Lonchura striata: one gene and its partners. The protein of the gene in region 4 interacts with the protein of the main gene of each other region in a pairwise test. Links are inferred from orthologs where the notes say so. Each region holds a gene or a part of one and is shown on either strand. Other genes may lie near its edges.

The links.
Region 1: the proteins of UBQLN1 (region 4) and SRGN interact in binary tests that used the Homo sapiens proteins (3 or more experiments, as listed by UniProt). The two-hybrid records come from large-scale screens. The link is inferred for Lonchura striata from reciprocal best matches to the Homo sapiens genes UBQLN1 and SRGN.
Region 2: the proteins of UBQLN1 (region 4) and TMUB2 interact in binary tests that used the Homo sapiens proteins (3 or more experiments, as listed by UniProt). The link is inferred for Lonchura striata from reciprocal best matches to the Homo sapiens genes UBQLN1 and TMUB2.
Region 3: the proteins of UBQLN1 (region 4) and RIC8A interact in binary tests that used the Homo sapiens proteins (3 or more experiments, as listed by UniProt). The link is inferred for Lonchura striata from reciprocal best matches to the Homo sapiens genes UBQLN1 and RIC8A.

The regions. Positions count from the first base shown.
Region 1 is NC_134609.1:34,918,587-34,926,261, reverse strand, and holds SRGN (serglycin), read left to right. Parts: upstream 1-4,437; 5' UTR 4,438-4,474; coding exon 4,475-4,565; intron 4,566-6,348; coding exon 6,349-6,496; intron 6,497-6,636; coding exon 6,637-6,850; 3' UTR 6,851-6,994; downstream 6,995-7,675. UniProt on the Homo sapiens protein: Plays a role in formation of mast cell secretory granules and mediates storage of various compounds in secretory vesicles. Required for storage of some proteases in both connective tissue and mucosal mast cells and for storage of granzyme B in T-lymphocytes.
Region 2 is NC_134627.1:8,666,771-8,673,982, reverse strand, and holds TMUB2 (transmembrane and ubiquitin-like domain-containing protein 2), read right to left. Parts: upstream 2,623-7,212; 5' UTR 2,570-2,622; intron 2,329-2,569; 5' UTR 2,039-2,328; coding exon 1,566-2,038; intron 1,300-1,565; coding exon 930-1,299; 3' UTR 731-929; downstream 1-730. Other genes in the region: ASB16 (ankyrin repeat and SOCS box protein 16), read right to left, coding at 3,119-3,304, 3,385-3,498, 3,569-4,061, 4,828-5,095, 5,372-5,678; HROB (homologous recombination OB-fold protein), read right to left, coding at 6,166-6,239, 6,359-6,551, 6,678-6,782, 7,160-7,212.
Region 3 is NC_134608.1:53,231,879-53,239,267, reverse strand, and holds the start of RIC8A (chaperone Ric-8A), read right to left. Parts: upstream 3,201-7,389; 5' UTR 3,114-3,200; intron 1,744-3,113; 5' UTR 1,653-1,743; coding exon 1,569-1,652; intron 1-1,568. Other genes in the region: BET1L (BET1-like protein), read left to right, coding at 3,291-3,309, 3,975-4,066, 4,745-4,801, 5,020-5,187; VPS51 (vacuolar protein sorting-associated protein 51 homolog), read left to right, coding at 7,128-7,340.
Region 4 is NC_134642.1:26,244,895-26,252,849, reverse strand, and holds the start of UBQLN1 (ubiquilin-1), read left to right. Parts: upstream 1-4,943; 5' UTR 4,944-5,050; coding exon 5,051-5,206; intron 5,207-7,955. UniProt on the Homo sapiens protein: Plays an important role in the regulation of different protein degradation mechanisms and pathways including ubiquitin-proteasome system (UPS), autophagy and endoplasmic reticulum-associated protein degradation (ERAD) pathway.

The DNA of each region.
Region 1 (7,675 bases), on a different chromosome or scaffold from region 4:
TTCCAGCAAAGATCTCCCCCTGCACTTGTTGACTTCACCATGGGAAGAAAGAAGTTGTTCCTTTGTGAGATCTAGATGGCAGTGAGTGCCTGATTTCTACACGATAAATTTCTTCAGTGCTTTCTTACAAGATCCAAATCTTATCTGCAGGGACCAGGCCTTGATGCTGCCCTCAGAGGAGAGAGGCGGTGGCACGAGAGACGAGGGGTGCCTTGGGCTGCCTTGGGCTGCCTGGGCTGTGATGCTCTGGGAGCAGGGCTGAACATGGCTCAGGTGCTGAGCTCAGATGTGACCCAGGTGAAGAATTAATTTTTACTCAGGGCTGGATTTAGAAATCCCCTCAGCTGGACCCAAACCTCTCTCTCTGGGTTGCCAGCTCTTTGCTATTTTGAAGAAGGGAGACTTTTGCTTTCAGTCCCCAAAGGTTGGTTGGTTGAACATGAGCTGGTGGCAAAAGGACTGCTTGCCTGGAGGACAGCTCACTTTTGAAGGTTATCAACGGTGATTTTAGGCATTTAACAGTGCAGTTCATGGGTATACCTGAGATGGATCAATGTGCTCAGGGCCCATTGGATATCCAAGTCTCACGAATCTCATCCCACTTGAGCAGTGAGTGTCAGAGAAGAAAACTGTTCTGCTTTCCTAAAAGGCAAGGTAGTCAAAACAAATGGTCCTTGTGTTCAACCCAGCTGCCATTCAGACACTCTCCCCTGTGCTCTGTCTATCCCCTATTTTTTTCCTGTTGCTATCATTCTCTCTTCACTCTTGTTTCCAGCTCTGCTTGTAAGAGATGTAGCCTTTTCTGTACTGGCTGCTCCTCAGAGCAGTGATCTGTAAAAAATATGTATTTCTACTTTCTCAGCAAAGCAAATAAAGAGCTGAGCATCACAGACAGGGCACAGCGCTTCAGGATCCCCCCAGTTGCTCCAGCTGTCTGCTGGCTTTGTTGCTCCATGGGGATGAGTGTTTGAGGGCTGCAGGGCTCAGCTTGGATTCCCATGGAAGCCAGGGTCAAGCTCCTATCAGCTAAGGCAGGGGAAAACCCGACCCTGAGAGCAGAGCGACCCCCACAGCAGTTACGGTTTATCTGATTTCTGAGCAGTTGTCAAAGAGAAACTTCTTTATCAGGACTCTGCCTGGACAGATAGTGCCTTGCCTTCGAGCCTCTCTGATAAGCAGCGGGACTGGGGGTGCCCCTGCACCCATGGGAGTCCATCTGTCCATCTGGATGCCTGTCAGGAATACAGGCAGCAAAGTAAACCTGTACTGCCTGCTGAGGAAAAGCAGCAGAAGGAGTGGCCTGACACTGCTATGTCAGATTACTCCTCTGGACCAATCTGCTCCCTCAGCATTTACCTGGGCTCGAGCAGAGAAGGGGTTGATGTCCGATTTGGCTGAAACAGCCCCATGATGCCCCTCTGGGTTCCTGCTGGGATTTCCTTTTGCCCCATATTCTGCCTTCCTCAGCAGAGTAGATGTCCTTGTGCCAGGCACTCCTGCAGTGTGGTCCACGTTTAGTGATGTTACTAAATGAGTGATTACTCCTGAGCCAGCTGGGAGATACAACAGCCCTGAAAGTTACTACTAAGGAGCAGTTCCTCACTTTAGATTTTGAAGTGTTTATTGTAAGACTGCTCCCAGATTTTTCAGGCATAATGGGAAGTTCTGGGTGTCTGCTCAGGGGTCTGGGTGCACAGTGTCAAGGCAGCCTTCTCCCTCCACCTGCTCCCCGCTCCCCAAATTAATGCCTTACAAAAATCCAACGCAAGAGCTTTGCAGGTTAAGAAATGTGCTTTGCATGTGATTTGAAAATAATGGCAGCACTTCACTGCAGGAGCTGTAAGCAAGACTCCAGGAGCAAACTGTGCTCTCAAATACCTGCTCCTCATTTATTTGCTTCTTTTTGCAAGCGTGTTCTGTTGGAATATATAATCTTTCAGTTTGCATACACAGGATCTATGCAGGAAGAACATTATCCTATGAATCTTTCTCACATTTTATGGAAGGCAAATTTGAGGTAGCTGACCTTGGTATGGTGTCTGTGCTCTCCTCTGCAGATTTAAAATATTTAACTTAAAATCCTGTTTCTCTTGAGCTCTGATAGTCATGCCATGGCACGTTTGAAGGTCAGTGTTCCAATATAGTTTGGCTCATGTGTTGTTCTCTGTTTAAAAAAAGAAAGTTTGTTAACTTTCAGCAGTTTGTGGCCTCTAGCCCAAGATTAGATTTTTTTAATTAGAGCTGATTATTTTCATTGTATGTATTAAGTGGTTTACAGATGGTATTCCTTGGGCATCCCATGGCACTCCACAAAGGGAATGCTTTACTTTTAACTCCTGCAAATTCCAGACTGTTTCAGATCTAGGTCTCCAATCACTTCCATGTTTTTAGGAAGATGGAAAACTCCTCGCCAAGTGCAGCGGGATGTGGGCACTGGCAGAGCACAGCAGGGCAGGAGATGGGCACAGGCTGCCCCCCCCTGCAGGCTTCAGGGCAGATGTACATGAGACAGGGGTAAAACATTTGCTTTGGACTTCCCACAGCTACCAATTGTAAAGTGAGCTCATTTCCTGAAGTGTGCTGCAGACAGAAAAAAATAACAAAACTGTGTGGCAAAACTGCCAGTGCTACAAGTTCTCCCATCAGCTGATGGTACAAGACAGGTAACTCAAGATCTCCCTCCAGATGCAGGGAATGTGCAGCTCCCCTACCCACAGCGGCTCCCCCAGCTGCCGTGGGATCCCCAGTTGCCCACTGGTGGGCATCGCTCTGGCTTCATCCCATGGGGCATCCAGTGCCATGGGGACAAGTGCCCTGGGCTGATGGGAAGGGCAAAACTAGCCAGTGGAGTTTTTCTTCCTCACACGGGGGTTGTTTGTGCACAGAGGAGGGCATGGAACAGGTCAGCGTGTACCCGTGAACAGCGGAGAGTGAGAGGTGCTATTGCAGGGATGGTTTCTGCAGCCTCCAGCAAGGGGAGGCTGATCATCTCCCTCCCGTGTTTGCTCAGCTTCCTATTGATGCTGAGCACTGCCTTAAACAAAAAGAAATTAAAAGAGAGCTGATGCTAAAAAGGCAAAGTAGAAATATGGGTGGCAATAAAACCCACTGCACATGAGCCCTTCTGCACCTGCTTTTTTGAATCTCCTGTTTTTCCCATGCCAGAGAAAAAACCCCGTGCGCAGAGGGTCATAAAACTGAACACGCAACTCAATTCCTCAGTCCAGTGATAAATCCCAGCCTGGAGAGGGGAGGGAGTTGCTGGAGTCTCTTCTGCTGCTTCATGGGATTTTGGTGGAACATCATGCCCTGGGGAAAGTCACTGCTCAGCCCAGATCCCCACTGGGGGCCTCTGCGGACTTTCCACCACATAAAAATAGATTTACCACAGACAACTTGCACTATCAGCCCCAGGAGCGACAAGGTTCTGCAGCACGTCAGGCCCACACGTGCACCAGTTAACCCAGCAGCATTCTGTATGACTGAGAAAAACCTTCACTGCTTTGATAACCTCCTTGTTTGTCATTTTTTCTGCAGTGAACTCAAGGCTGGTTTAATCACAGCCAAAAGGCAAGCAAAAGCTATGAGCCAGCTGAAAGGGAGCTTCTATTTTCTGTCTATATAAGAGCTTTCATGGCTTTTCAGATGTGTACCTTGTGGAGCCACATGTGATCTAAACCCTTTCCCACATTCCCTGGGGCATTTGCACCACACAATGATAATCTGGCCAAGCAAATTGCCTATGCTCTTCCAGAAGGAGTTGATATGTTTCTACCAGGATATATTATCTAACTTAATACATTTTTTTTCACTTCCACTGCAAATATCTATGATTCTGCTTTCAAAAAAACAAAAACACACACACACACAAAAAAAAAAACCCACCAAAAAATAAAAACCCAAAAGACCAAAAAAAGCGAACCCTCAAGCCTGGCATGAGATTCCAGAGATAATTTACTTCTGTGGAAAAAGATGATTCCCCAGTTGGTGAAACATGTACTGACTGTGAGTAGCTGGCTTCTAACCTGACTGGTGAGGGCTTGAGGCAGGGAAAAGCAGTGCCAGTGCTAATGCAAAAATGCAGTTTTTGGACCTAAAATAGGGGAACATTAAGCACTGCTTTTTCACTCTGGAGCCCTCTCAGCATTGGGCAGAGGCTGGGTGGGATGTGTGCCTTGACCACGGGCTGCTGGCAGCACCACCTTCAGTCCACATCATGGGTATTGGGTTTGCTTTCCTGCTTGGGCAAATGCAGGAGATGAAGGCAGAGAAGATTTTAGTTTGGACTGATGAAGGCAGGAAGGCCACAGTGCTGGGCTTTTCTGTTCATGTCTCACTCCCATCAATCAGGAAGTGGTGACGCAGGTTATGGGTTGGGTTTGAGGTTTTGGAAACTTTTCTAAAAGTCGATCTCCTCGCCCCGTCTTATTTCTGAAGTGTGACGCTGTGGTGAAGGCTGGTTGCGAGCAGAGGGATGCCAGCCAAGATGCAGCTCCTTATCAGATGTAACGGGAGGATTTTCCTGGCTATTTGTTTAATCCTCTTTGTGGGATACACAGCACAAGGTAAAATGGGGCGGTTGTTCTCGGTAATCCTCTTTCTGGGCTATGCAGTGGAGGCCAAGTAAGCAACCTCTGAATTTTACAAAATGGCCTTCTTTTGGGGGTAATAAGATCTACTCAGAAAGTCTGTTTTGCTGTTTCCTTCTCTGGGTGTGTGTGTGGGGGCAGGGGGGGAATGCCAAGAAAATGTGTTTTTTACAATTGGAGCATTTCAATTTTTGAGAAAAGACTTCATAAAATATGTTGTTGCATGCGTATATGTTTTCAGTCTATATATCTCAATATATATTTTTCTAAGTGTCCCTTCCATAGTGGTCTGGTTACTGCTGTTACTCAGTTATGAGTTACAGACATAGTGTGTAAGAGTTCTCATGTCATAACTCCTATGGTCTGCTTTCTGGGGGAGCAGGAAAGGAAATTAGTTGTAAGTATGAGGAAACTAAACGGTTTATTCCGTAAAGCATTGCAACATACACCACTAAAATGACAAAAGGGAAATATTGATTCATGATGCTGTGCCCCATGGATTTTTTTTCTCATGAGAGAAAAACTGCTCTTCAAGCATGTAGAGTATCATTTGTCCATAAACCAAAGCTGTGATAGTTAAAGGCTCTCAATATGCATTACCACTCGGAGGCTGATCTTTGAGGGGTTATGACCTGCTTGTTCTATGTTGCTTATTTGCAAATTTTTCAGCTGCAGCTGTTTGTTTTGTTGCCACTGTTATTATTAAAAACCTTCTTAATAATAGGTGAGGAGAAGAAAATAAGTATGAAAAAGGAATATACTGTAGAGGCAGCAAAAAATTAAACCCGTGAGATCTTTTTTCTTTTGCAGAAGAGTGTAGGAGGTAGCTGAAAGTCATCCAGTACATTATGGAAATATATAGGGCAATAGAGAAGTGTAATTACAGAAAGATATTCCCAGGAAACGGAGAAAAAAAATAGATAAATGCCAACAGGTTGAGAATGCACCAGGAGGTTTCTGAACAAATTAATTACATGAGACCAAGAGGAAGGATGAAATGTCACTGCTTCTATCTTTATTATGTGATCCTTCTTTTGTCATTTTGGTGTTTTTTGAAGACCCACATTTTCAGTGACAGCCCCAGTCAGGCACCTGGGGAGCACCAGAACTGAAAACCCAGGTTTACAAAACCTTGTTGTGTCTAGGAGACACCTGAACTGTCTCTCCTCTGGCAAGTGCTCCCAGAGCCTCCATAAACCCCAAACCTGCTCCTTTGGCACACCTTGAGTTTCTCATGTCCCCACCAAAAGTCAGCCTGTTGAAGGGGCAGAGCTGGAACCAACAGAGGAGGGAGAGCACAGGAGACAGCTCTCTGCTGGGTGCCTTGTCCCCAGAGGTTTTCACATTATTTTCACATACCTCCACCTTCAAGGAGAGCTGCAGGAGGCTGAGCCCCCAGGTCCCCCGTGGTTACGCCACACTGTGAGCTGGCGATGAGCCTTGCTGTGACAGCAGTGCTTTCCCATGGACTTCCTGGTGCTGTGTGTGAGGGGATTCCCTGGGATTTTCCATGGACTTCCTGGTGCTGTGTTCCAGATGTGCCTGATGTCTCTGATGACAAAAATGTCACTTAGGATGTCAGTAACCATTTAAAAAAAAAGCCTTCAGGGTTACTTTACTTTTCCGGAGGTTGAGCAATCAGGGCCACGCAAATTACTTTCATCCACTCCTTTAAGCCTTATCAGGTGCTCATAAAGTTTGTAGGACCTGCTGAATAATGTCCTGGTCCTCATGGACAATGTGTGGCTGATTCCATCAGGTGCTCCGATGCAGAGGGCGAGGTACAAGAGGGTGAGGTGCCGGCCTGACACCTGGTCTGCTAATTGCATCGAAGAGAAGGGGCCCTGGTTTTACATGCCCTCTGGTGGGGCCAACAGGATCCTTCCTCCCATGGCAGACCCGTCCTTGTAAGTTCATTTGCCACATGATTGCACCCCAAAATGTATGACTCCTGCCTTGACAGTCCTGTCACAGCATGGCTCGCCCACAGTAACATGAGGCTTTGATGTGTTCATCTAAGAGAGAAAATTGCCACTCTGTGTTTCAGGATGAAGAGATACCAGGATTTGGGCGATATATTCCCTCTCTCGGATGAGGATTCTGGCTCTGGGTCCAACACCGTGGTGGAAGCAGAGCCAGCCTCTGGGTCGGGGCTCGGTGACAATGACAGCTTCTCTGAGGCGAAGCTGCCTGTCTTGCTGGAGAGCCTGCGAGGCAGCGAGCTGAAGGAAAAGCTGTCGGAGGAGGATTTGCTCCTGTAGGGCCGGAGACGTCCTCACCTGCCGCTCCCTCGCCTCTTCCCCAGAGCCTCACCTGACAGCCACGAAGCGGTTTTAAACCAGCATCAATAAAAACTCTGCCTTAAGATTTTTACTGCTTGCACTTACTAAAAGCATTGTTGTTCAGTCTGTAGTGCCTTTTTATGTGTGCGCGTGCAGCAGCCATCCCAATGCGGGGAGCAAGAGCGATGGGTGAGCAGCCAGCTCTGTGGGGCAGTCATCGTGCTCTGAGGGGATAAATTCCAACCCTTTGTGCGCTGGGAGCCGCCTGCACTTTTACAGCAGTCAGCCAACCGCGTTTCCCGAAAACGAGAGCGAAGTCCTGCCAAAAGGAAAGATTTATTCCCGCGGGTGTTTCCTGAGGGGACCCCGCAGCGCTGCCGCCTCCCGGCCGCCAGGCGGCGCCCTCCCGGGGCGGGCGCGGAGCGGGAGGGGCGGTCACGTGCGGCGGGGCGTGGTCCCGGCGCGGGATGGGCGTGGCCTGGAGGGGGGGGGAGACCCGTAAGGTCACATGACCAGGGGCGCGCGGCCGGGGGCGCTGGTGGTGGTGCGCGCGGGGCCGGGGCCGCGGAGGGGCGCGTACCATGGTGAGTGCGGGGGGCGCGGCGGGGGCGCTTATGAGGGGTGTGCAGGGGGCGCGTACCATGGCCAGTGCGGAGCGGGGGGGGGCAGCGCCGATCCGCCATCGCCCGAGGCGGCGGCGGCGGCCTGGGCAGGGCGGTGCCTCCTCTGCCCTTCCTTCCTTCCCAAATCAAGGCTTTAGGGGGTTATTAATTTGATTTGCGGATGAAGGGTGCCTGCATGAGC
Region 2 (7,212 bases), on a different chromosome or scaffold from region 4:
CCCACCCCGGTGCCGTGGCTCGTCTCTCGCAGGGACTCCCACATTATGGTGCTCTCGACTCTGGATTCACTATTGTTTTCAAACTGCTGCTAAAGGCTGGGCTGGGGGGGTCCTGCAGAGCCCTGGGCACCTCAGAACCCTGCGGGCCCCCCTCGTGGGGACCCCCGAGCGGTCCCCGCTGCTGCGGGGCCGCCGGAGCACGCCGAGCTGGCCTTCGTGTGCCCCGGGGCCCCAGGACGGAGCTGTGGGCACCCAAAAACACGGGGGACCACCCCAGACTGCCTGGGGGGGCATGGCGAGCTGGGGCTGTGGGGGAAAGGCATCCTGAGCCCCTTCAGCTGCAGGAGAGGCACTGCGATTTGGGGTCCAAGGGGTGCAGTGGGGCTTGGGGGGGTCAGACCGTGCCCTGTGACCCCCCCAGGTCGGTGTCCTTGCCCCCCCCGGTGTTTCTGCGCGTCCCCCCCGCAGGGGAACTGAGCCCTTGTGAGGTCTGTGTGTCCCGTGAGTGGGTTGTGGCTGCCCCTGTAAATAAAACTGCATCTTGACTTGGTATCCCTGGCATTAATTACAGCTCGTTAATTAAACAGGGCCTTTACCCCTCCCACCTCCATCTCCACCCACTCCATTCAGCACGGGGCGGGGGGGGGGGGAGCCGGATTTGTTTTTATAAGACCCAGAAGTGTGGGTGGGTAGGAGAGCAGCTCCCAGGGCAGGAAGGCGACCACTGGGGTGACTTGACACCCTTTATTTGCATTAAAAAGTCCTTGGGAAGAAGCCACGGCCCGTTCCAGTGCTGTCCAGCTCCCCCAGAGCTGGGGCTGGGGACCGGCAGTGGAGTCTGGGGGGGGCACAGCCCCTTTTTGGGGGGCAAAGTCCGGCAGCGAGGCTGGGACCCAGCGCGGGGACGGAGGCCGCGGTGCCGCCCCGGCTCACCCCGCCTGCCCGTACAGCCCGAAGGCCAGGAGGGTGACCAGCACGGTGACACCGATCAGCGACACGGTGGCCGGGGCCGTGAAGAGCTGCCGGTAGTTGATGCGGAAATACCAGCCCAGCGCCAGCACCACCATCACCGTGGGCACCATCAGCGTGCCCCCGGCCAGCGGCAGCCCCGGGGCCGCGGGGCCGGCGGGGCCGGGCTCGGGCAGGGCGGCGGTGGCCGCGGTGGTCCCCCGGGAGCGGTGGCAGTGGATGACACAGTTGTCGGTGATGCGGAGCGAGCGCAGCGTGCGCGCCTGGTCCTGCAGCAGCTGCCCGCGGTAGATGAGCTTCATCTGGGCCTCCTGGCCCGGGAAGCATTTGCTGCGGGAGGAGGGAGGAGGGTGGGGGCGGCGGAGACCCCGGACCCGCCCGGGGAGGGACCCGCCCGGGCTGGGAGCCCCTCCGTTAAACGGGGAGGGTTCACCACGGCACCGCCACCGCCGCCTCTTTCGAACTTGCTGTCTCAAAGCCCACACCCCCCGGTATTTTTGGCACATCGGGAGGGATGAACGCCCTCCCCCGTCCCGTGGGAAGCGGCTGTTCGCAGCGGGGGCCCGGCAGCGCTCCCCGCGTCCCCCGGCCCTCACCTCTTGAGAACCCCCACGGTGTCCTCGGGCCGGGCCACCGCCACCTCCTCGGTGTCGTTGAGGAACTTGAGGCGGATCTTGATGAGGCCGGGGCACGCGTCACCGGTGCCCCCGGGCTCAGCGGCGCCCCGGGACAAGCCGGGCGCGTCCAGCAGCTGCTCCAGGCCGGGCTCGGGGCCGCTCCCGCTGTCCCCCGGTGCCGCCGCCCCTTCCTCCTCCGTTTTCTCCTCCGCGCCCGCGGGGCTCCTGGGGGGCTCCGGGGCCTCGGCCGCCCCCGCGGGCCCCGCGTAGGGCGGCAGCGGCCCGAGGCGGATGACGGCCGCGTCCCCGGTGCCCAGGAGCTGGCTGCCGCCCTCGGCCACGTACGTGGACAGCCAGGCCAGCACCAGCGCCAGCACCAGCACGGCCACCCCGGCCACCAGCGTCACCTCGTCCCCCACCCCCACGATGAGGGGGGCGGCCGGGGGCTCCATCTCCGCGATGCCCGCCTCGACCTCCCGGTGCCCGGTGTGAGCGAGCGGCGCGGCGGCAGCGGGGACCCCCGGGGCTGCCCCGGTGCCACCTTCGGGCTCACAACAGACCCTGGGGCCGCTCCCGGTACCCGGAGACCGCAGGGACGGGAGCTCCTCGCTGCGGATTGTCCTCCTCGCTCCCGAGACACCGAACCGGCGGCGCTGCGCTCACCTCACCGGGCCCGGCGGAGAGTCCCGGGGGTGCCCCAGCCCCTCGGTGCCCAGCGGGGCAGGGTCAGGCCATCCCCGACCTGGACGGAGCAGAGCGATGCGGTCAGCGGGGCCCGGGCATGGCGGGGCGGGAGGAACCGGGGACGTCCCGACCCGTGCCCGGGGCTCCCGGTGTGTCCCTGCCGGTCCCCGTGATTCCCGGGGGTGCCGGTGCGTGCCCGCCATGCCCGGCCATCCCGGGGGGTGCCGGTGTGTCCCTGCCAGCCCCGCGGTCCCGGGTGTCCCCGCGGTCCCGGGGGTCCCGGTGCCCCCCCCACTCACCGCCTCCCGCCGCCGCCGCCCCGCCGGAAGCGCCACGTCACCGCGCGCCGCCGCCAGGGGGCGGCCGGGGGCGGCGGGCGCGCCCCGGGGGCGGGGCCAGAGGGGCGGGGCCAGCGGAACGCGCCCCGAGTGGGCGGGGCCAGCGGAACGCGCCCCGAGTGGGCGGGGCCGGCGTGGGCGGGGCCACTTGGGGCGGAGTCACCGGCGGGGCGGGGCCCGGGAGCACCGTGGGAACCCCGGGCTGAGCCCCCCCGGGACCGGAACCCCCCGGACCCCCCGGCCCGGCTGTAACCCCCGCCACGGCCCCCACATCCTCCGGGGCCCGTCTGTCCCCCCCCTGCCACCCAAGGGCTCTGTCCCCTCCTCCCCCGTCCCCACTGCAGGTGACGCTGCCCCGCTGGTCCCACGGGGACAAGGACACCTCGGGAGCCACCTCTGCCATGTCCTTTACTGACAGCAGGGCACGGGGAGGACACAGGCAGCGGACACTCGTGGGGAGCAAGGAGGGCACGCAAGAAGGGGGCAGCGGCGGGGACACATGGAGTGCCCTCAGGAGATGAGACCCTCGATGGGCAGCTGGAGGTAGCGGCGCAGTGCGGGTGGCAGCGCCAGCTCGGGGACAGCGGCGCGACAGCGGGCGCCCAGGTGGCGCCGGATGGCCACGCGGGCCAGGTGCTGCAGCCGCCGCGGCCGCCCCGCCATGCGCACGGCCGAGGCGTAGAACTCCCGGTGCTCCTGCGTGGGGGGACACGGGAGGGCTCGGTGCGCCGGGATGGGACACGGGCACGGCCCGGGACCCCCCAGGACCCCGTTACCTCCCAGAGCTCGGGGGGCACGGCCTCCGCCCAGCCGTCGGCGGGGGGCACGCGGTCGTAGGCGTTGAGCATCACCTCCAGCGCCGGCGGGTGCTGGCAGCACAGCCTGAGCATCTGCCAGCAGAGCCGTGTCACCGGGGTGACCCCCCCGGCACCCCGAGTCCCCCGTCACCCCGTGCCCCACCTTGGGGTGCGCGGGGAGGGCGCCGTGGTCCAGCAGCAGGGCCAGGATCTCCTCGGGCCGCTGCTCCCGGTACTCGGGCACGGCGCGGAGGGCGCAGTCCATGGGGGTGTCCCCGGCGCCGTTGGGCACGGCGGCGTCGGCGCCGTGGCGCAGCAGCAGCCGGGCCAGCGCGGCGTGCCCGTTGGCACAGGCGTTGTGCAGCGGCGTGTGGCCCTTGCGGCCCGCGGCCCCGGCCCGGGCGCCGGCCGCCAGCAGCCGCTCGGCCACGCGCAGGAACCGCTCGGCGTCCTCGGGGCGCTCGGCCGCCGCCGCCGCCGCGTTCAGCGGGGTCTCGCCCTGCTGGGTGCGCCGCTCGGGGTCGGCGCCGTGGTGCAGGTACAGCTCCACGTGGGCCGGCAGCCCGTGGCGCGCCGCCACGTGCAGCGCCGTCACCTGCCGGTCGCGCGTGCCCAGGTTCACCCGCGCGCCGTGCGCCAGCAGCAGCTCCGCGCACCTGGAGCGCGTGGGAACGGTGAGCGGGCGCGGCGGGGACACGCGGCACCCGTGGGACGCGACCGGGACGTGCCAGGGAGACGTGATTGCAGTGGGACACCCGCAGGGACACCCCCAGGGACACCCCGGGAAAGCCTGGAGTCACCTGGGAACCATGGGACACCCTCAGGGACACCCCCAGGGACACTCCGGGAAAGCCTGGAGTCACCTGGGAACCATGGGACACCCTCAGGGACACCCCGGGAAAGCCTGGAGTCACCTGGGAACCATGGGACACCCTCAGGGACACCCCCAGGGACACCCCGGGAAAGCCTGGAGTCACCTGGGAACCATGGGACACCCCCAGGGACACCCCGGGAAAGCCTGGAGTCATCTGTGACCTGTGGGACACGGCCAGTGACACCCTGGAGTGACCTGTCACCCATGGGATACCCCCAGGGACACCCCGGGAAAGCCTGGAGTCACCTGGGAACCATGGGACACCCTCAGGGACACCCCCAGGGACACCCAGTGACACCCTGGAGTGACCTGTCACCCACGGGACGCTGCCATGGGCACCCTGGAGTGACCTGTCACCCACAGGACACCCCCAGGCACCCCCCAGGACACCCCCCAGGCCCCTGGCTCCCAGGTTGCGTGGGTGGGGCAGGAGTGAGGATCTCACGGGCCCCTCCTGCAGTGAGCCCGCCCTGGCTGCAGGTGAGACCCCACAGGTGAGACCCTGCAGGTGAGACCCCACAGGTGAGACCCCGCAGGTGAGCCCGCACCTGAGGCTGTGGGGCGCGGTGCAGAGGTGCAGCGGGGCCGAGCCGTCGGCGCTCAGCACGTTGGGGTCGGCTCCGAAGGCCAGCAGCAGGCGGGCGCAGTTGGGGTGGGGGGCGGCCGCGCTGTCGTGCAGGGGGGCCCGGCCCCCCACCACGGCGTCCACGGCCGCCCCGCGGAGCAGCAGGTGCCGGGCGCAGGCCTCGTAGCCGCGGGCGGCGGCGATGCGCAGGGCCGAGGTGTGCTCCCGGCGGGGGCTCAGCACCCACAGCCCTGCGGGGGTCAGCGGGGGCTGCCGGACAGCCCGCACCCCGCTGGACCCCCCTCACCCACACCCACCCACCCTGGAGCTGGCGGGAGCAGTGGGGCGCCCATGGGGCTGCCCCGAGCACCCGCCCTGCCCCAGACTCCCTGTCACCCACAAACCGGAGCAGCCAGCCCCGCTCCCCCCGGAGCTGCACCCCCTTTTCCTGCCCCCCACTCGTTCTGCAGGGGAACGGGGGGGAGGGAGAAGCAGGGAAGGACCCCCAGCCCCATGGCCGGCCGTACCCTGCTCCGGTGACCACACCAGCTCCTCGCTGACCATCTCCAACACCAGATTGGCGCTGGCCTCGTCCCTGAAGATGCTCTGGACGCGGGGCAGGTCCCCGGCGTAGAGGGCGTTGTGCACGGCGGGGTCCCGGCAGAGCTGGCGCCGCCGCGGGGGGCTCGGGGGGGCGCGGGGGGTCCCGGGCAGGGGGCGCGAGGCCGGTGCCCGGGCCAGCGCCCGGCGGCGATCCTCCCGCTCCAGCAGCTCCCGCTGCAGCCGCAGCGAGCGCAGCGCCGAGGGGCTGAAGGCGAAGCTCTCGTGGGCCATGGGCACCCGGCAGGGCAGGGCGGGGGGCTCGGGGCACAGCTCGGGGATATAAATAGGGCCGTGCCCCACAGGCGGGTGTGCAATCGAATCCCAGAGCCAGGGGATTATAAATAACTCCTGGTGGTAAACAGAGTCACGGGGTGCAGGGCAGCTTAAACTGTTGGTGGGCGCGAGGTGGGGACGTCCCACGGGGAGGGACCTGGGGATCCCTGGTCCTGCAGGGCTGTGAGAGCCTGGGGAGACGGCTCCTCACACCCGGAGGAGCAGGGACCCCGGGAAGGAACAGGGGTGACACACGAGGACACAGGTGATGCAGAAACCAAAGAGCCCTTTAATGCAGGTTTGGGGGCCCGGAGCAGCGCCGAGGCCTCGGGGTGCCCCGGCTCTCGGCCCCACAGCAAACACCACGGACACGCAGGGAGCAGCAGGGGGGTGCCAGCCGTGCCACCTGCTCCTGGCACCGCCACCCTCAGCAGAGCTGCTGGGCTCAGCCGCAGTCAACCCGAGCCGGGGCTGAGAAGAAATCCTCGGGCAGCTCTCCCAGGAGCCCGTCCAGGTCATCTGCAGGCACAGAGGATGTCACTCGTGTGTGTGTGTGACCGTGGCACTGCTCAGGGGCCAGGCCCGGCTTTCCCCAGGCCGGAGAGCTTCTCCTCCCCTCCAGGGTGGCTCCGACTCACCCAGGTCACATCCATCCGTTCCCACCGGTCCTTCCCAGCCGGGATCAGAGCTCGCTGGGCGCAGGGAGGAGCCCCCGGGACGCTGCTCCGCGCTGGGTCCGCCTGTCCTCGGCTGTCCCCGGTGCTCGGGAGCAGGGACAGCCCGGGTGGGCCGTGCCGGGGGCTCTGGGCTCAGCTCAGCCAGGCCAGGGACCTGCAAAACCCAGCGGGGATGGATTCCTGGGGGATTTACCCAGCCCCCCCTTCTCTCGAGGGTCCCCAGAACCCAGACCCCCCTGGGGTCCCAGCAGCCCCCCAGGGCCGCCGGTGCCCCCCTGACCTGGCGGGGGGAGCAGCCCTCGGGCTCGGGTGGGAAGATCCGGAGGAGGTTGTTGGGGGTCACGTTGAGGTAGTGGTTGCGGTGGGAGGGGGAGAAGACCCCGACCTGCGGAGAGGGCAGACACAGCTCCTGGATAAACCCCCAAGGTACAGGTCCCCATTCATGGAAATCTCAGGATGAGGGGTGACATTTTAGGAATAGCTGAGAAAAATCCGAGGTGCAAAACCGTGGGAGATCCTTTTCTTGTATTTATATTTTTGATATTTTTTTATTCCAGAGTGCTATGGAACGGGAACAGGGACGTACCACATGACCACACCAGTTCCTCTTATCCCCTTATCCTAATATTTACATTCCCACTTCCAGGGTGCAACGGGGTTGGGAATGGCACAGGTGATGTGCTGTATCCCCCACCCCGCATTCCCCAGGGATGGAAGAGACCCCGCTGGGGTGGGACCAGCAGCCCCCCAGATTCTCCTCACCTGCCTCAGGAGCAGCACGGAGCCGGCCCGGAGCTCGCTCTGCCTCTGCTCCA
Region 3 (7,389 bases), on a different chromosome or scaffold from region 4:
GATTATGTGTGTGCAGTCACCAAAAGCCCAGGGATAGAATGGGCTCTGTCCAGCCTGGAAGCAGTGATAGACACAGTTGCCTGGAGCAGCCCCAGGTGTGGGGGCAGGACAGGTGTACTCCAGCCAGGCTGAGTGTGGGCTCCATGAGCTGATCCATCCACACTACCAGGAGCTGATGGCCCAGTCCTGCCACTGCCGTGTTCCACAAGCAGGCTGCTTGTTCCCTCAGCACATCCTCTTTTCAGGCTGTAATCCCATTTGGGGGTATTTTGGCCACACCTGGGGTTTTGCTTTAGCTGTAGCATATTCCCAGCAAGCAAAAACTGCATGCACAACAGTGAATTAAAAACAAATCCAGAGGAAAAGCGTACAGAACCATTAGTCTTGCAGCAGAAGCAATGCCAGGCAGTGCCAGGTTTATCTGCAGATTCATAATCCTCTTTGACTGCTCCATTTCCTCCAGACAGGCCAGCAAACCCTGTGGCTGCAGTTCCCTAGGCTCAATACCCCAGGAAGGACCCAGCTGGGGGACTCCAACAGGAAATATCATGGTTTGGGGGCACACAGACACTGTTTGCACCTGCTGCTGGTGCTGTTAATCCTTAGTGCTGTCCTTAACAGACACCTGCTCCTTCTTGGCCAATATCTCCCCGTTCCAAATCTGACTGTTAGGAATAGCTCCACACACTCCCTCTCTCACACACTCTTGCAAAATATTCCTCAGGTTTTCCCTGCTGGCTTCCACCTACTCCAGCCTGGTGCAGAGTGAGTCAGAGTGATCCACAGGGCCAGCCCCTCTCAGGGGAAACCTCCGAGTTTCTCTGACAACTAGAGTCTGTTTCAAACAGGATTTCACAGAGCCATAGAATATCCTGAGCTGTAAGGAACCCACACAATCCATTCAGTCCAGCTCCTGGCTCTGCCCAGACACCACAACAATCCTACCCTGTGTCTGAGAGCACTGTCCAAATGCTCCTGGAGCTCTGGCAGCCTTGGGGCTGTGCCCATTCCCTGGGGAGCCTGTTCAGTGCCCAAACATCCTCTGGGGGAAGAACTTTTTCCTAATATAAAACCTAAACATCTCCAGCTGTTCCCTTGGGTCCTGTTACTGCTCAGAGAGCAGACACTGGAGCTGCCCCTCCACTGCCCCTCAGGAGGAAGATGTAAATGGCTGAGGTCTCCCCTCAGTCTCCTTTCTCCAAGCAGAGATTTACCACCACGGATTATCTTTTCCTACTTTAAGGCTAGAAACACTTCCATCTCTGCTTCCAGATCATTGGGGTTTGATATTCTACATTCTACATTCATTATTTACTGCTTTCAGAGCCATGCCCATATGAGATCCCAGCAGTTACCTCCAATCATCTTTTGACTTGCAAATCCCAACATCGTTTCACCTGCAGCCCCTCCCTGGATTCTCTCAGCACCTCCAAAACTACCTTAACATAAAAGCTCCTCCTACTCAGTCCTCACCCTGACTCTTATTTCCAGGCCAGGCTTTACTTGGGATCTTGATAATCATTTTTTTAGGAGTTCCTGAGATGAGGGAAGCGTTGATGCTCACTCACCTCTTGGTTGTAGACCTGGAGCACCTTGAGAACCGTGTCCTGCTCCCCACTTTCCAGCGTGGACACCACAGCCTGGAGCTCCATTATCCCAACAGCTCAGCTATGGCACAGCCCCAGAAGAAGAGGAGCAAGGGGATTTCCAGGGTGATGGAAAAGCAGCTCGGCACACAGACCTCTGAGAGGGAAGAGAGAAAGGGGTGGAGAGAGCAAGGAGGGAAAAAACACAACACAAAAAAATCCCAAGTGATATTGCTCACACTGCTGCATCCATAAAAGTGGAGCAGATGGATAACCCGAGCAAAGCCAGCAGCCAACTTCCTCTCTCTCTCTCCTGCTAATCCTCTTCTTCCTCGCTTTGCTTTTCAATGTTTAATATATGCCCTCGCAGGAAAGCACTCAGGGAAAACCTTCCCCCCACCAGCTGGAGATTAACGTGGAGCAGATAACAGCAGCTCCCTGAAATAGCTCCCTGCCTCCTCCTCCTCCTCCTCCTCCTCCTCCCCGCCTGCCCTGATTTCTGCTGCCGCACAGGGGGAAAATAACAAATAAAGCACGAAACATTGCCGCGGAGTGACAAGGGACGGAGCGGCGAGGCAGCCAGGCGGGAGAGCATCCTCCGGCTGCAGGCGGTGGGAAGCAGAGCAGGAGGGTTTGGTGGCGGGCTGGATCATGGCCGATCCCTGCAGGCCACCGCCGGGCGAGGATGTCCCTGCCGACAGTGCCAGCCAGCAGATGCGCAGCACCGCGGGATTATTTCGGACACGGCACCGGTTTAGCGGCTCACGGAGCCACGCGAGCCCAGGGCGCTGGGACATGATTCCCATGGGGGGAAATCCAGCAGATTTGAGCTCGGACATGTGTTCGGCTTCCGTGTTGCCATGAGGATGAGGCTGAGCTGGTCACACCAACCTCAACAAACCGGGATCCCAGGCACAGGGTTCCCGGGGTTTGGGAATCACACGGGCTGTCCCCTCCTGCCCACGCAGCCCCAGAGGGGCGTTTTGGGGGGACCAAAAGAGGCAGATCCTGCATTTTGGAAGGCGGACAGTTGCGGAGACAGGAGGCTGGGCTGGCCCGGGGCAGCATCCCCATGTGCAGGGGCTGGGATGGAGGGGATCCACCTCTGCTTTTGGAGGGATGACATTAACCAACGGATCATTGGGCATATCCCCATTTCCATACTCCTACTGCCACCTCCTTCCCTCACCATCTGAGTAAATTCCAAACCTCCTTTTTTGTCCCCATAACCCCGTTTATATCCCTAAACCCCTACCTTCCCCCCCAAACCTCTATTTTTGTCCCAAGCCCCTATTTCCCCCCAAACCTCTATTTTTATCCCAAGCTCCTATTTTCCCCTTAAACCTCTATTTCCCCACCCCCAAAACCCCTGATTATTTCCCCAAAACTTCTTTTTGCCCCCAGACCCCTATTCTAGTCCCCAAAGCCCTATATTTGTCCCCAACCCCCCGGTTTTTGCCCGCAAGGCGCTGTTTCCTCCCCCAGCCCCTGTCCCGCCGCTGTGCCCGGGCAGGGCGCCGGCCGTACCTGCGGCCCGGGATCCCTCGGGAGGGAATTCCAGCCCTTCCGCCCCGGCCCGGGCGAGCGGCCCGAGGGTCCCGGCGCCGGGGGGCAGGAGGAGGAGGAGGAGGAGGAGGAGGAGGAAGAGCGGGCGGACATTTCGTGGCGGCTCCGCCCGGCGGGGCGGGACGGGCCGGGGCAGCCATGGCGGAGCGGGGCCGAGGTGAGGGGACGAGGGACAGCGACAGGTTTGGGGGGCAGAAGGGGCTGGAGCGGCTCGGAGGGAGGAGGAACTCCCGATCCCACTGAACCCCGCGGGGCGTTTTGCAGTGCCCCGATTTCTCCCCCTATAGCCCGGGAATAACACCCCACCCCCCCCACCGCGTAAGCCCTAATTGCCTCCCTGTGCCTTTTTTGGGGTTCTGGGCTGCCCCCCCGAGCCCCTAATTGCTCCCTCTATCCATTAATTGTCCCCATGAATCCCTAAGCCCCCCCCCCCCATAAACCCTAAATACCTCTTAGAGCCCCCATAGCCCCTAATTGCCCCAGAACTCCTAATCCCCCCCAGCCCCAACCTGCCCCACAATGGGGGCAATGCCGAGAGACCCCAGCACGGCCGAGGGGCAGAGGGCCCCGGGTTTCACCCAAATCTCACCCCTGGATGTCACTGGCCATGGAACCCCCACAGCTGCTGCTGGGCTGGGGTGGCACTTCAGATACCCTGAATTCTGGCTTCTCACCCTGGCCTGTTTGGGGGAAGTCTGTGGTGTTTTGGTCACATTTTCAGAAGGTTCCACTGCACAAAGCATGTGTGGAGGGGCTGTGGTGGGAACAGAGCTGTGCTGTGGCACGGCAGGCATGATGTGTGCTCCTCGTTCTTCTCCCCAGGGCAGAGCCCGAGCGCCATGGAGGACCTGCTGGATGTGGAGAACAAGCGGATGGCCGACAGCCTGGCCAGCAAGGTCACCAGGCTGAAGTCGGTGAGTGCCGAGGTCACAGCAGGTGTTGAGGTGAAGGACAGGCTCTGATTACCTGGGAGTCCTGCAGGGGATCACAGAACCATGGAAAGGTTTGGGTTGGACAGGACCTTAAGGCTCATCCAGTCCCACCCCTTCCCATGGACAGGAACACTTTCCACTAGACCAGGTTGCTCCAAGCCCTGCCTAACCTGAACACAGGAGTGTTGCTAAGCTCACATCCTTGGGGAAAAATTAATGGAAAAAAGGCAGGCAGATTAATTTTGGAAAATACCTGTGTCTCTGTGTAACTGTTCTTAATGCTGGTTTGCTCCTATTAACATCAAACACTTTGATTTAGAGCTTTAAGCTCTAAATTATTATTAAAAGTGTAGTACAAACCATGAAAGAAGTTGATGACTCACTGTGTAAAAGGGCAAGCTGAATTCCTGCCATTGTGTCCCAGGGTTTAAACTACCTTCTCTAGCTGGCAGATTTAGACAGCCAGGCTTTATTTTCAGAGCTGAAAAAGTTCACCTGACAGGGAAATGCCATTTTCCTTGTTCCTGCACCAGACAAGCCCCTGTGTGTCTGTTGGAGCTGGGAAAGCAGCAGCTTGTTTTAATAATTTGCATTTCAGATTTTAGAGGTTCTCTGGACATTAAAAGCTCATTAATGCCCATTTCCTGCCTTGCCCTGCAGCTGGCTCTGGATATTGACAAGGATGCTGAGGAACAGAACCGCTACCTGGATGGCATGGTAAGGACCTGGCAAACGGGACACGGGGCTTTCTGTGCAAATCAGGGAATTGGGATGAGAGGTGGGACGGCAAAAGCCCTTAAGGAAGAAGCCCTAAATCAGCACTGGGATTGTTGGGGTGTCCTGTGCTGTTGGAGCTGGACTGGCTCATTGTGAGTCCCTACAACTTGGGAAGTTCTATGATCCTGCAATGCCTCCAAGGTGTCTCCTCCCACCAGGACTCGGATTTCCTGAGCGTGACAGGGCTGCTGACGGGCAGCGTGAAGCGCTTCTCCGGCATGGCGCGCTCCGGCCGCGACAACCGCCGCCTGCTCCTCACCGTGTCCGCGGTGCTCGTCCTCATCTTCTTCATCCTCTACTACCTGGTGTCCCGGGCGGGGACCTGAGCCCGGGCTGGCAGGTGGCACAGGCCAGACCTCACCATCCACAGACCTGGCCACATGTTTTCCAGAGGAGCCTCCAGCCACACCTCCACCTTCCCAGTGACTTCTCCTTCCAGCTTGTCAGCGCTCCGGCTGGGCCCAGGCAGCTCTTCCAAAACAAGTTTGGCTCCAAAGGGATCTTCGTGTCTGTCAGGATTTTGGGGTCATGGCTCTGGCCGTGACCTCCTGCCTTGTCTCCATCCCGTGGGCTGTTTCTAAGGGCCACTTCCACATGACCTCCCTCGATCAAAACCAGGAACTAACAAATCCAGGGACTTGTGGATACTCCATAACCCAGCTGAGCTTTGCGAGCTGTAGGATTTAGGATGCTGACTTAGGGGATTTGGGAGTACCAATGTGTGACTTACATTCCGTGTGGCCACTCTCCATTTCCCTTGGACTTGCAGACCATATCCCTGGGCTGAAAGGAAACTGTGAAAGGAAACTTGTGCATTGCTAATCCGGGTGGAATTAGCAATGGATCTGGGCCTGGATACTCTCACATTGTAGCAGGGAAGAGATGCAGGAGAGCGGGACTTTCATTAAATCCTGGCTTGGTTGTCTTTATCATCCTTGTGGGCAAACCAGGCTGGACCCTCTGGGAAGGGAGGGCCACAGTCCATAACCACATGGATTTGCACTTGTGTGGAACCTTCCAGAACCTTCCCACACATGTGCAAATTAAGTTACTAAATCAGGGTAAAGAATACCGGTGGCAGAAGGTCCAGTTAACTGTGGTTAACGTGGCATCCTGCTTTTAGAGCACTTTGGGGAGATGTAGTGCCAATAAAGTGAGGTGGAACTCCCCCCGCAGTGCTCTTGGGAGTGGGGGGATCCAAGGAGGGATTTGCTGTTTTGTTTATGCATTTAGAGAGTACAAAAGGAACCCCTGCTTTACCTTGGAGGGTGTGTTTGCTTATTTGCTTCTCTTTTCCTGTAACAGGCAGGGCTCAGCCATTCCTTCTCCTCTGATTTAGACTCTCCAGCAAACCCTCTTCATGGATGGATGGCTGGGTGTTCCTTTGCTTTCTCCCTGTTCCCAGTGGGAATTCCTTTGCCCTTGGGCTAACTCGGGCCCATAGGTATGAAGAGAATGTTGTCCCATGTACCAAACTGCTCACAAAACACACCCTGGCTGGATTATGTGTTCTCTTTTCCACATTTGGGAGAAAACGTGCAGGAAAGGCAAGGACAAAAGAGGCAGCAGGAGCTTCCTCTGGCTCTTCCTGCTTTCCTGGTGCAACGTGGCAGGTCTGGGCTCTTTCCTTTGGGAAGAATCAACGGCCTGTGATTCCTGGAGCAGGTGACTCCCAACAAAAGGCCCCTGGAGCAGCCTGGCCTTCACCGTGGCAGGGTTTATTTTGCCTTTTCTGCTGTAAATAAAGCTGATTTTAGACCTTTTAGCCCAGATGTTTGTTCCTTGTGCGAGGTGCAAGGTCGATCACCTGGTTTTACCTGCAGCCTCACAGCCCAATTCCAGCGTCACCTGGAGCCACCCTCGGGTAGGGTGGGGGTCCCCAGGACCTCACCCGGTGTGAGGGGAGAGGAGCACGAGGAGGCACTGGGGCCTCGCGGGACACTGGGGAGGCCTGCGGACAGGTGGAGAGTGGTGAAAAGGGACAGTGAGAGACATGGGCCCGGGGTTAAGGGTGCCAGCGGCCGCTCAGCCCTCGAGGGTCGGTGTCTCCACCCATGTCTGCGTCCGAATGAGGATTCTTGTCGCCGTGGGGCAGCATGACACGGGCCGCGCCGGCCCCGTCCCCGTGGCAGCCGCCCCAGGCCCCGGGATCTGGGCTCCGCCATGTCCGGCGCCGCTTCCCCGTCGCTATGGCAACCCGGCGTCTCACCGGAAGTGACGTAATGGACAGGCCGGAAGTGGCTGCCGGGGCGGAAGCGGCGGCGCGATGGCGGCCGTGACGACGGGGAGCGGGGCCGGGAGCGGGGCCGCAGGCAGCCCCGAGGCCACCGGCGGGAGCACCGGGGGCGGGGGGTGGCGGCGTCCCCACGGGCCGCTGCAGCGCTACTATGGCCCGTCCACTGCCGAGGCGGCCGAGGCGCCCCCGGACCCCACCGACATCAACGGGCCCCACTTCGACCCGGAGGTGTTCATGAACAAGGTGGGCATGGAGAACAAGGGTATGAAAAAGGAGACTCCTCCCGCGGGCA
Region 4 (7,955 bases):
ATCCTTGCTACTTACAACAAATATACTTCTGTAAATAACACAAATTCCTCTAACTTGTCAACTTCTGCTAGCTATAACCAGGTAGAAGTTGTGCTACTCTAGTACAAGGTCTGTTCATGTAATGTTACAATCAGCATGAGCTGTATCCATAAACTGTGAACACCCTGTGATGAGGAATATCTCCTTGCTCTTTCATCTAATTTCTGCTTGAAATCACTTCTTGACTGCAGTGCAGGATTCTACTGTGTAATGTCCCTCACTCTGCTAGACAACAAGATAATGTGGCAGAGGCAGAAGTGTTTGGCTGCAGCAGAAGTCAACACCTTGTAGCATCACAACCAATGGGCAAAAGGAACATGTGTGACTTAGGAAAGGCTTAATACTTGAATATGCCTGGAGTCATTCTTATCTGCATCAAACAAATGCTCTAGAACAGGCAAAATCTGGAATTCCCTTCAGCCAATCTGTGGTATTCCTATTTTAAGGTCTCTTAGCAAGTCTTCAAATCTTTAGTAAAAATGTTAAGAGTTGTGGAGCCTACCATGCTGTATTACAGAGTTTTTTCTACTATTAGCTGAACCAATCTACAAAGGGTGTTGAGAGGTTATCCCAAGAGCAGAGCAAAGCAGCAAATCATCTTGTGATTCAGAGTATTGGATGGGAAACATCCATTCTCATCTAAGCAAAAAAGGACATTTGATTCTACAGTTCAGCCACATACATACTTTACACCAAAACAGGAAAAGACATCTTGAATTTCCTGAGATGCAAGAGTATTTTGGGAGAATGCCTAATTTGGTAATGCAGTTTTAAGTTGTGCTTTAAGTTTTTTTGGTCCAAGTTTGAGGAAGGTATGATTTCCTGCTGTGGAATGCTACCTTAGCTGCGGGAATTGTAATTTTCTCTTCTTCCCCCTCCTCCCCTCCTTCCCACGCATTCCCCCTTTGTCCTGTGACTCAGCCCACCCCTCCCCCCTTCCCATGCAGTCCTTTGTCCCAACCCTGCGTTCCCATATCACTCCCCCTTGCCACACGGTCCGGTCCCTCCCCCCCCACCCCTTTACCATCGCCTCTCTGTGCCCAGACGGGGGCTGTAGCCTTGCATGTCCCTGGCGGTCGGGAGGCTTTTTCTTTTCCAAGGAGGACGCCACCTCACTCAGTCTTTTTGGAGTAATTCATACTGGAAAGCTCCTTCTCTTTCTCGGAAAGCTACCTTTTCTACCCTCTCCTCCCTATTCTGGGCTTTGGGGGTGAGGGGATCGAAAGGACACCAATGGTACAGAATTGTAAGCGACGACACGTCAGCTATGGGAGAATTGTTAACATCCTAAGGGAGGCCCTACACATCCATGCATTTCATCAGCTTCCAGCCACGTCGGGCCCCTCTCCTGTAGTATTCCCCTTCAGCTTCTGTGAAGCTTCCCCTTCCCTTTTCCCCACAGACTTCCCCAAACCTTCTCCCTTGGGGATGGCAGCAGCCGAGCCGCCCCAAGCGCCCTGCCGGACACTGTTATCCTCCCTTAGGGGCGGCACTGGCCGTGCCTCCCCGGGTGAGATGCAGTGCACCCAGCACCCCCTCCCAAGATGGCGCTGGCCATGCTACAGGGATCCCATTTTCCCACCTTGACCCTTCTCTTCCACCCCAAGTTTTCCCGCTGGCCCAACCCCTCCCCGAATGGCCCTGCACCATCCTGCAGTGGGCCAGCCCCTATTGGGGGGAGGTGAGGTTGGATTAATCCCTCAGTTCTTCTTCTGGCCCCCCTCTGATGGGAGGGATCACCAGAGGGGTCCCTCTGTTAGAGGACCTCCCTTTGTAAGAGAGCTTGCCCCTTTGCTGTGGGAAAGGGGGGGGGTTCAAAGGGAGTGGAGCTGGAAACCCGGACCAGAGCTCCACTGTTTCTCTTTCCCCTGAAACAGTGACGCCCAGGTTCTCCCCTCTATCCCATCTAAATGTACCTTGCCCAAAGTTCCCTTATTATTTCAATGCAAGTTTTCCCCATTGCTTGTGATAATTTGGAAATAACTCCTTGGATTGAGATATATCTTATAGAAGGAAAGATCATCCTCTCTAATTACTGCCCACAATGGTATGCCAACTTCGCAATCAAATAATCAAATTGGAGAAACCACGTTGCTGTTTGGTGCCTGTTTCTGCTCTGCTAGTATGCGAAAAACCACAAGCATCGCATCATGAATCCTGCTTTCATCCTCGATACAGAATGTGTTTATGATAATTTTGTACTTTGTCTTAAATTGTAATGTGGAAAAAATTTTTGCTCCATTCATTGATTGGTGTATCACTTTCTGATGTCTCTCTACTTACATTTTCTCAGTAATTTGTAACGTTGCTAATTTGTTTTTACCTCAGAACTCCCTTTCCTTTATGTAAATTCAAAAGACTGAGCTGCGGGGTTTGTAATTTTCTCTTCTTCCCCTCCCATTCCCCCTCTCCCCTTCCCACATGTTCCCCCTTTGTCCTGTGACCCAGCCCACCCCTCCCCGCTCCCCCGCGGTCCTTTGTCCCGACCCTGCATTCCCTTATCACTCCCCCTCACCACGCGGTCCGGTCCCTGTCCCCCCCCCCTCCCCTCCTTTCCCATCACTGCTCCTACTTCCCTGGGGTCTCCAGGGCTCCGGGGTCTCCAGGGCTCACCCTGTCTCCTGCCCTGTCCCTATTGGCTGTGGCTCAGGTTCCCCCACCCTGGGGTATAACCGACCCCTGGGTCAGTGTCCGTGGTCTCGGGGACACACTCCCACAATAAACACGTGTCTGCCCCCGAGCCCCGTGTCATCCTTCCGTCTGTTCCCACACTAGAACTGAGCCTCGCAGAGCAAAAGGGGAAAAGCGGCGCCGTCTCTCCCTCCCGCCATGCTCCCGCAGGCACCTGCCCAGAGCCGGTCTCGCACGGCAACACTTAGCAATACCTTTAAAGTAGTAAATGTCTAGGATGTATTCTTCTTTAGCTGGGGCCAAGTAACTTAAAGGCAAAAGGTACTGAATTATTTCATTGATGTACATTCACAAACTATGCCAAGTTACTCTTCTTGCATCTTCCGACACCAAACCCCTGCATCTCACTACAGGCCTCTGTGACACCTCATGTCTCATGGATTGGAGCTCCAGCAAACCACAGCTGCACGGCCAGCACCTGCACTCCCAGACCCTAGTTGGGAAACTGGTGACCTTCTGCATGGACCTCTGGAGATCACCATCCAGGCTAAGCCTTCTGCCAAGGGAAGGTCAGCTAGAGCAGGTTACACAGGAACATGTCCAGACAGGTTTTGAATGCCTCAAGAGAGAGAGAATCCATGACCTTCCTGGGCAGCCTGTTCCAGTGCTCTGTCATGCTAACTGTAAAGTTCTTCCCCATGCTGAAGTGGAATTTCCTGTCTTTGAGTTTATGCCCATTGCTCCTCGTCATGTTACTGGGCACCCCTGAAAAGAGGCTGGCACTATCTCTTTGTGAAAAACGCCAGTCACTTGTTTAGTTGATAAGTTTAACAGGAATAAAATAGCTATTAAAATAGTAGCAAAAATTAGAGCAGTAAGTATTTGGACAATAAAAAGCAAAGAATTATGGATGTCTGGGTGCCTTGCACTCTGCCACAAAGCACACCTTGCTAAATAAGGATTACCCCTTAAAAGCAATAGCCTGTTGCGTATTCATAATCTCATACATGATTTAAAAATTCAAACAAAGGATTTCTTCTGCTTAGAAGGATTTCTTCTGCTTACTCCCACCTTCGTCTTGTAAATTAGTCATGTTGGTCCCTTGGAGTCTGCGTCTTCCCAATAAGGAGGCAGTAATTATTCTCTTGGAATTTTAGTGTCTTGTTGCTGTTATCCCTATGCAAAGAATTTCTTAATTATCCATTCCTTGAGCTACTTGTAAAAAGAATCTTACATCACATTTCTATTTTAATATGCTATTGCCTAAAACTATATTTACCACATTACTTAAAAGAGATTAATACAGCATAACTTTCCAACATAACACCTATAGTATTCATTTTAATATTTGCGAAGAGCCAATCATGTAATATGCATTTTTCACACTCTTTGTATCCACCTTTGAGATATTCACATATATTGATGAATCCCCTCTCAGGCTTCTCCAGACTAAACAGGCCCACCTCCTGCAGTCCCTTCTCATACGAGAGATGTTTCAAGCCCCAAATTGTCCTTGTGAGTCCCACTGGACCCTCTCCAGTAGCTCCTTGTCTCTCTTGTACCGAGGAGCCCAGAAGTGGACGTGGCGCTGCAGTGTCCTCCCAGAGTGCTGTCCGTGGAGGCCGGCACAGCCCGGAGCCGAGGCGGCGGCCGGCACAGCCCGGAGCCCAGGCGGCGGCGGCCGGCACATCCCGAGCCCAGGCGGCGGCCGGCACAGCCCGGAGCCCAGGCGGCGGCCGGCACATCCCGGAGCCCAGGCGGCGGCCGGCACATCCCCGAGCCCAGGCGGCGGCCGGCACATCCCGAGCCCAGGCGGCGGCCGGCACAGCCCGGAGCCGAGGCGGCGGCCGGCACATCCCGGAGCCCAGGCGGCGGCGGCCGGCACATCCCGGAGCCGAGGCGGCGGCCGGCACATCCCCGAGCCCAGGCGGCGGCCGGCACATCCCGAGCCCAGGCGGCGGCCGGCACAGCCCGGAGCCGAGGCGGCGGCCGGCACATCCCGGAGCCCAGGCGGCGGCCGGCACATCCCGGAGCCGAGGCGGCGGCGGCCGGCACATCCCGGAGCCGAGGCGGCGGCCGGCACATCCCGAGCCCAGGCGGCGGCGGCCGGCACATCCCGAGCCCAGGCGGCGGCCGGCACATCCCGAGCCCAGGCGGCGGCCGGCACATCCCGAGCCCAGGCGGCGGCGGGAGCGCTCCGCTGGGAGTCGCGCGCCGCCCCTTCCAGTACCTTCCCCGGTGCGTGCGTCATCACGGCGCGCGGCGGCCGGGCCCAGCCGTTTCCGGTGTCGCGGGCGCGTCGCGAGCGCTCGGTTGCAGCCGCCGGAGCCGGGAGCCGAGCGCGCTGCCCCGCCCCGCCCCGCCCCACCGGGACACGGCGATGTCGGACACAGCGGACGGGCCCGCGGGGGGCCCCCCTGGCTCGCCCACCCGCGACTCGGCCGGTGACTCCGAGCCGCGGATCATCAAAGTCACGGTGAAGACTCCCAAGGAGAAGGAGGAGTTCGCCGTTTCCGAGGCCAGCAGCATCCGGCAGGTGAGGGGCGGCGCGGCGGGCTGCGGAGCCGGCGGGGCGCGCTGGGGCCGGGCCGGGCGGAGCGCCGCCCGGCTGGCAGCGCCGGCCCGCGGCTCCCGGCTCGGCTGCGCGGGGCCCGGGCCCTGCCCAGTGACAAAGCAGCTTCTGCTCGCCCGGGAAGGGACTGCTGCCTTCTGAGGAGGGCGGGGGCAGTGGAGAAATGTGCCGCCTCGCACCCTCCTCTCCCGCTTCTCTGTTACACTGCAGAGGGCCGGTTCGGAAGCTGGATGTAGCTCATTCGTCAACTCGTTGAGTCGTAGAAACGTGGGGGTTGGAAGGAAACATCAAAAATCTTCCAGTTCCCCTGTCGTAGGCAGGGACACTTTCAGATAGACTAGGTTGCTCAAAGCACCATTCAGCCTGGGTTGGAATACTTCCAGGGATGGGCCATCCACAGCTTCTCTGGTCAGCCTGTTCCAGTGCCTCACCACCCCCACAGTAAAGAATTTTTTCGTAATAGCTAATCTAAACCTACTCTCTTTCTCTTTGAAGCTATTGCCCCTTGTCCTGTCAGCACATGTTCTTGCAAACAGGCTTGCCTCATCCTTCCTGTAAGTTCCCTTCAGGTGTTGGAAGGCCACAATTAGGCCACCCCAAAGCCTTCTCTTCTCTCATTTTCTAGCTGTGAGTTGTCCTGTTCAGCTGACTGGCTTTGGTGGTAGTTGTCTCACTGTCTGGCTAACATGACTGTAGAAAACATACACAGTTACTTGTATCTCTGTATTTCCAGTGTTTATTTTGATCTAACACTGTCTTTAAAGACAGTGAGTAGGCCTTGAACTTTGGGAAGTTGTAGCCTTGTACTGTGTTTGCAAAATCTTCAGTCTCCCATACTCTGATGTGCTAGTTACAGATATAGTACTTAGCATGGCATGGTTATGTCAGATAACCAATTTATTAGGGCTTTTGTGCCTTCCTGTGAAAGTCTATGCTCCAGCTGCCTTTGTCTCAAACTAGTGACACCTGCTGATTCATCCACACTGTTTCGTGCAAGTCTTCTATTTTTTCAACTCTTTTAGTAGGTTTGCTGTGCAAGTATTGACTAAAAATTCATTTACTTAAATTAGAAAGCAACAAATCATAGCAAAGCTGCTATCAAAATGTAAAAATGCAGAGACTCCTGCTTACAAAGAATGTAGGTGTTGCTAGATTCAGAACTTCTTTTGTTTTCCATAGGATTTCCCAGTTTTCACCTTGAAATGGCTCTAACTGTGTCAACTTTGTGCTATTCCACATTTTTTTGTGTGACTTTGGTATTGCAGACTTCATAAAAAAAGATAACATGTCTGAAAGCGTCACTTATATCTAGATACAGAACTTGACATCATTCTTTAAGTGTGAGCTGAAGGACACTGATTGGTTAATAGAAGAGGATACAAAAGATTAAGTAAAATCTCCGAAATTTCAAATGTAGTGATAGCTATTCAACTAGACTGTCAGACTTTTGTTTCATCTAGTTGCTGTGAATAGAGAAAATGCTAATATTTCTTTGAGGTTTTTTTTGTCCTTGTGTCTAATCTACATTCAGTTTTGTTTTGCAATGTTGGTTTTTTTTTTTTTTTTTTGTACATCAGTGTTTGGGCTAGAAGTGTCCCAGACCTGAGTTTCATTGAGGTTTTCTCAGCTGCCAATGCACTGAAGCTGCTTTCTTGTCCTCTTGTCTTTTGGCAGCTGCAGTGTTGTGTGCAGTGAGCTATTCTCTCTGCAAGCTTGATCTAGGCATTTCTCCCAAAAGTAAAAAGACTGTGTTTGCTTTTTAGTGTTTTCCACTGCTTTCCCAGCAATCTCAGTCTGAAAAGGGTGCTTTCCACTTCTCTGTTCTCCATATATTTGTGAACAGCAGCAATGCAGTTTTTGTAAAAGTCTTTGCAGTTTTGGGGCTTTTGTTTTGTTAGGATATTTTAAAAGAGAGATTCATAAACTTAATATAACCTGAGGATTGTGTTTGTCCTGTAAAGCAATCAGCCATTAGCTGGGTCCTTTGGAATTAATAAAGAGATTTACTTTAGCTGTGAATCTTGTAATACATTTGACTTTAACAAGTTTGTTTCAGATTTGAATACTGGCGGATCTGCCAGGTTTTCAAATAAACAGTTGTCATAAACTGAAATGGTTGTACAACCTATCAAGCACATGAATTTTTACTGAAAGCAGTCATACAAGTTTAGAAAATTAACAGAGGATACTACTTCAGATGTCTCTGTTGTCTACAGATACCTTAAACTGTGTTTTCTCTCTTGGCACTGCTGTTAAAATATTAGATGTGCGGTTATGACTTAATTCTTGTGAAGTAAGATTTCCCTGCTGGGTTGACCATTGGATTGAAGTCTCAGGCAGTGTAACAGCACAAAAAAATGCGCTGTCCCCATAGAATGACTAATACTGGCTTTTTCTCTTAAACTGCAAAAATGAGCTGTTGATTATAATAAGTATAAACAATAGATGCAATGTTTCTAGAACCAGCCTTGAGAATAGGTTAATCTCAAATACCAGGCGAGTTGCACATCTGTTCAAGTGCATCTGGGATCAGCAAGTGGTTTGTACAGTTGAGATAAGTGGGCCAGTAGCTTGTAGGCTGAAAGGAAAACAAAACAAAACAACAACAAAAAAAGGCAAAAGAAACTCCCTCAGTATATTTTTATAGCTAACATTAGAACTTAAAGAATTGAGCTGTTTATTTCTTTACGGTCATTTCAGGTACTGCTAGAAC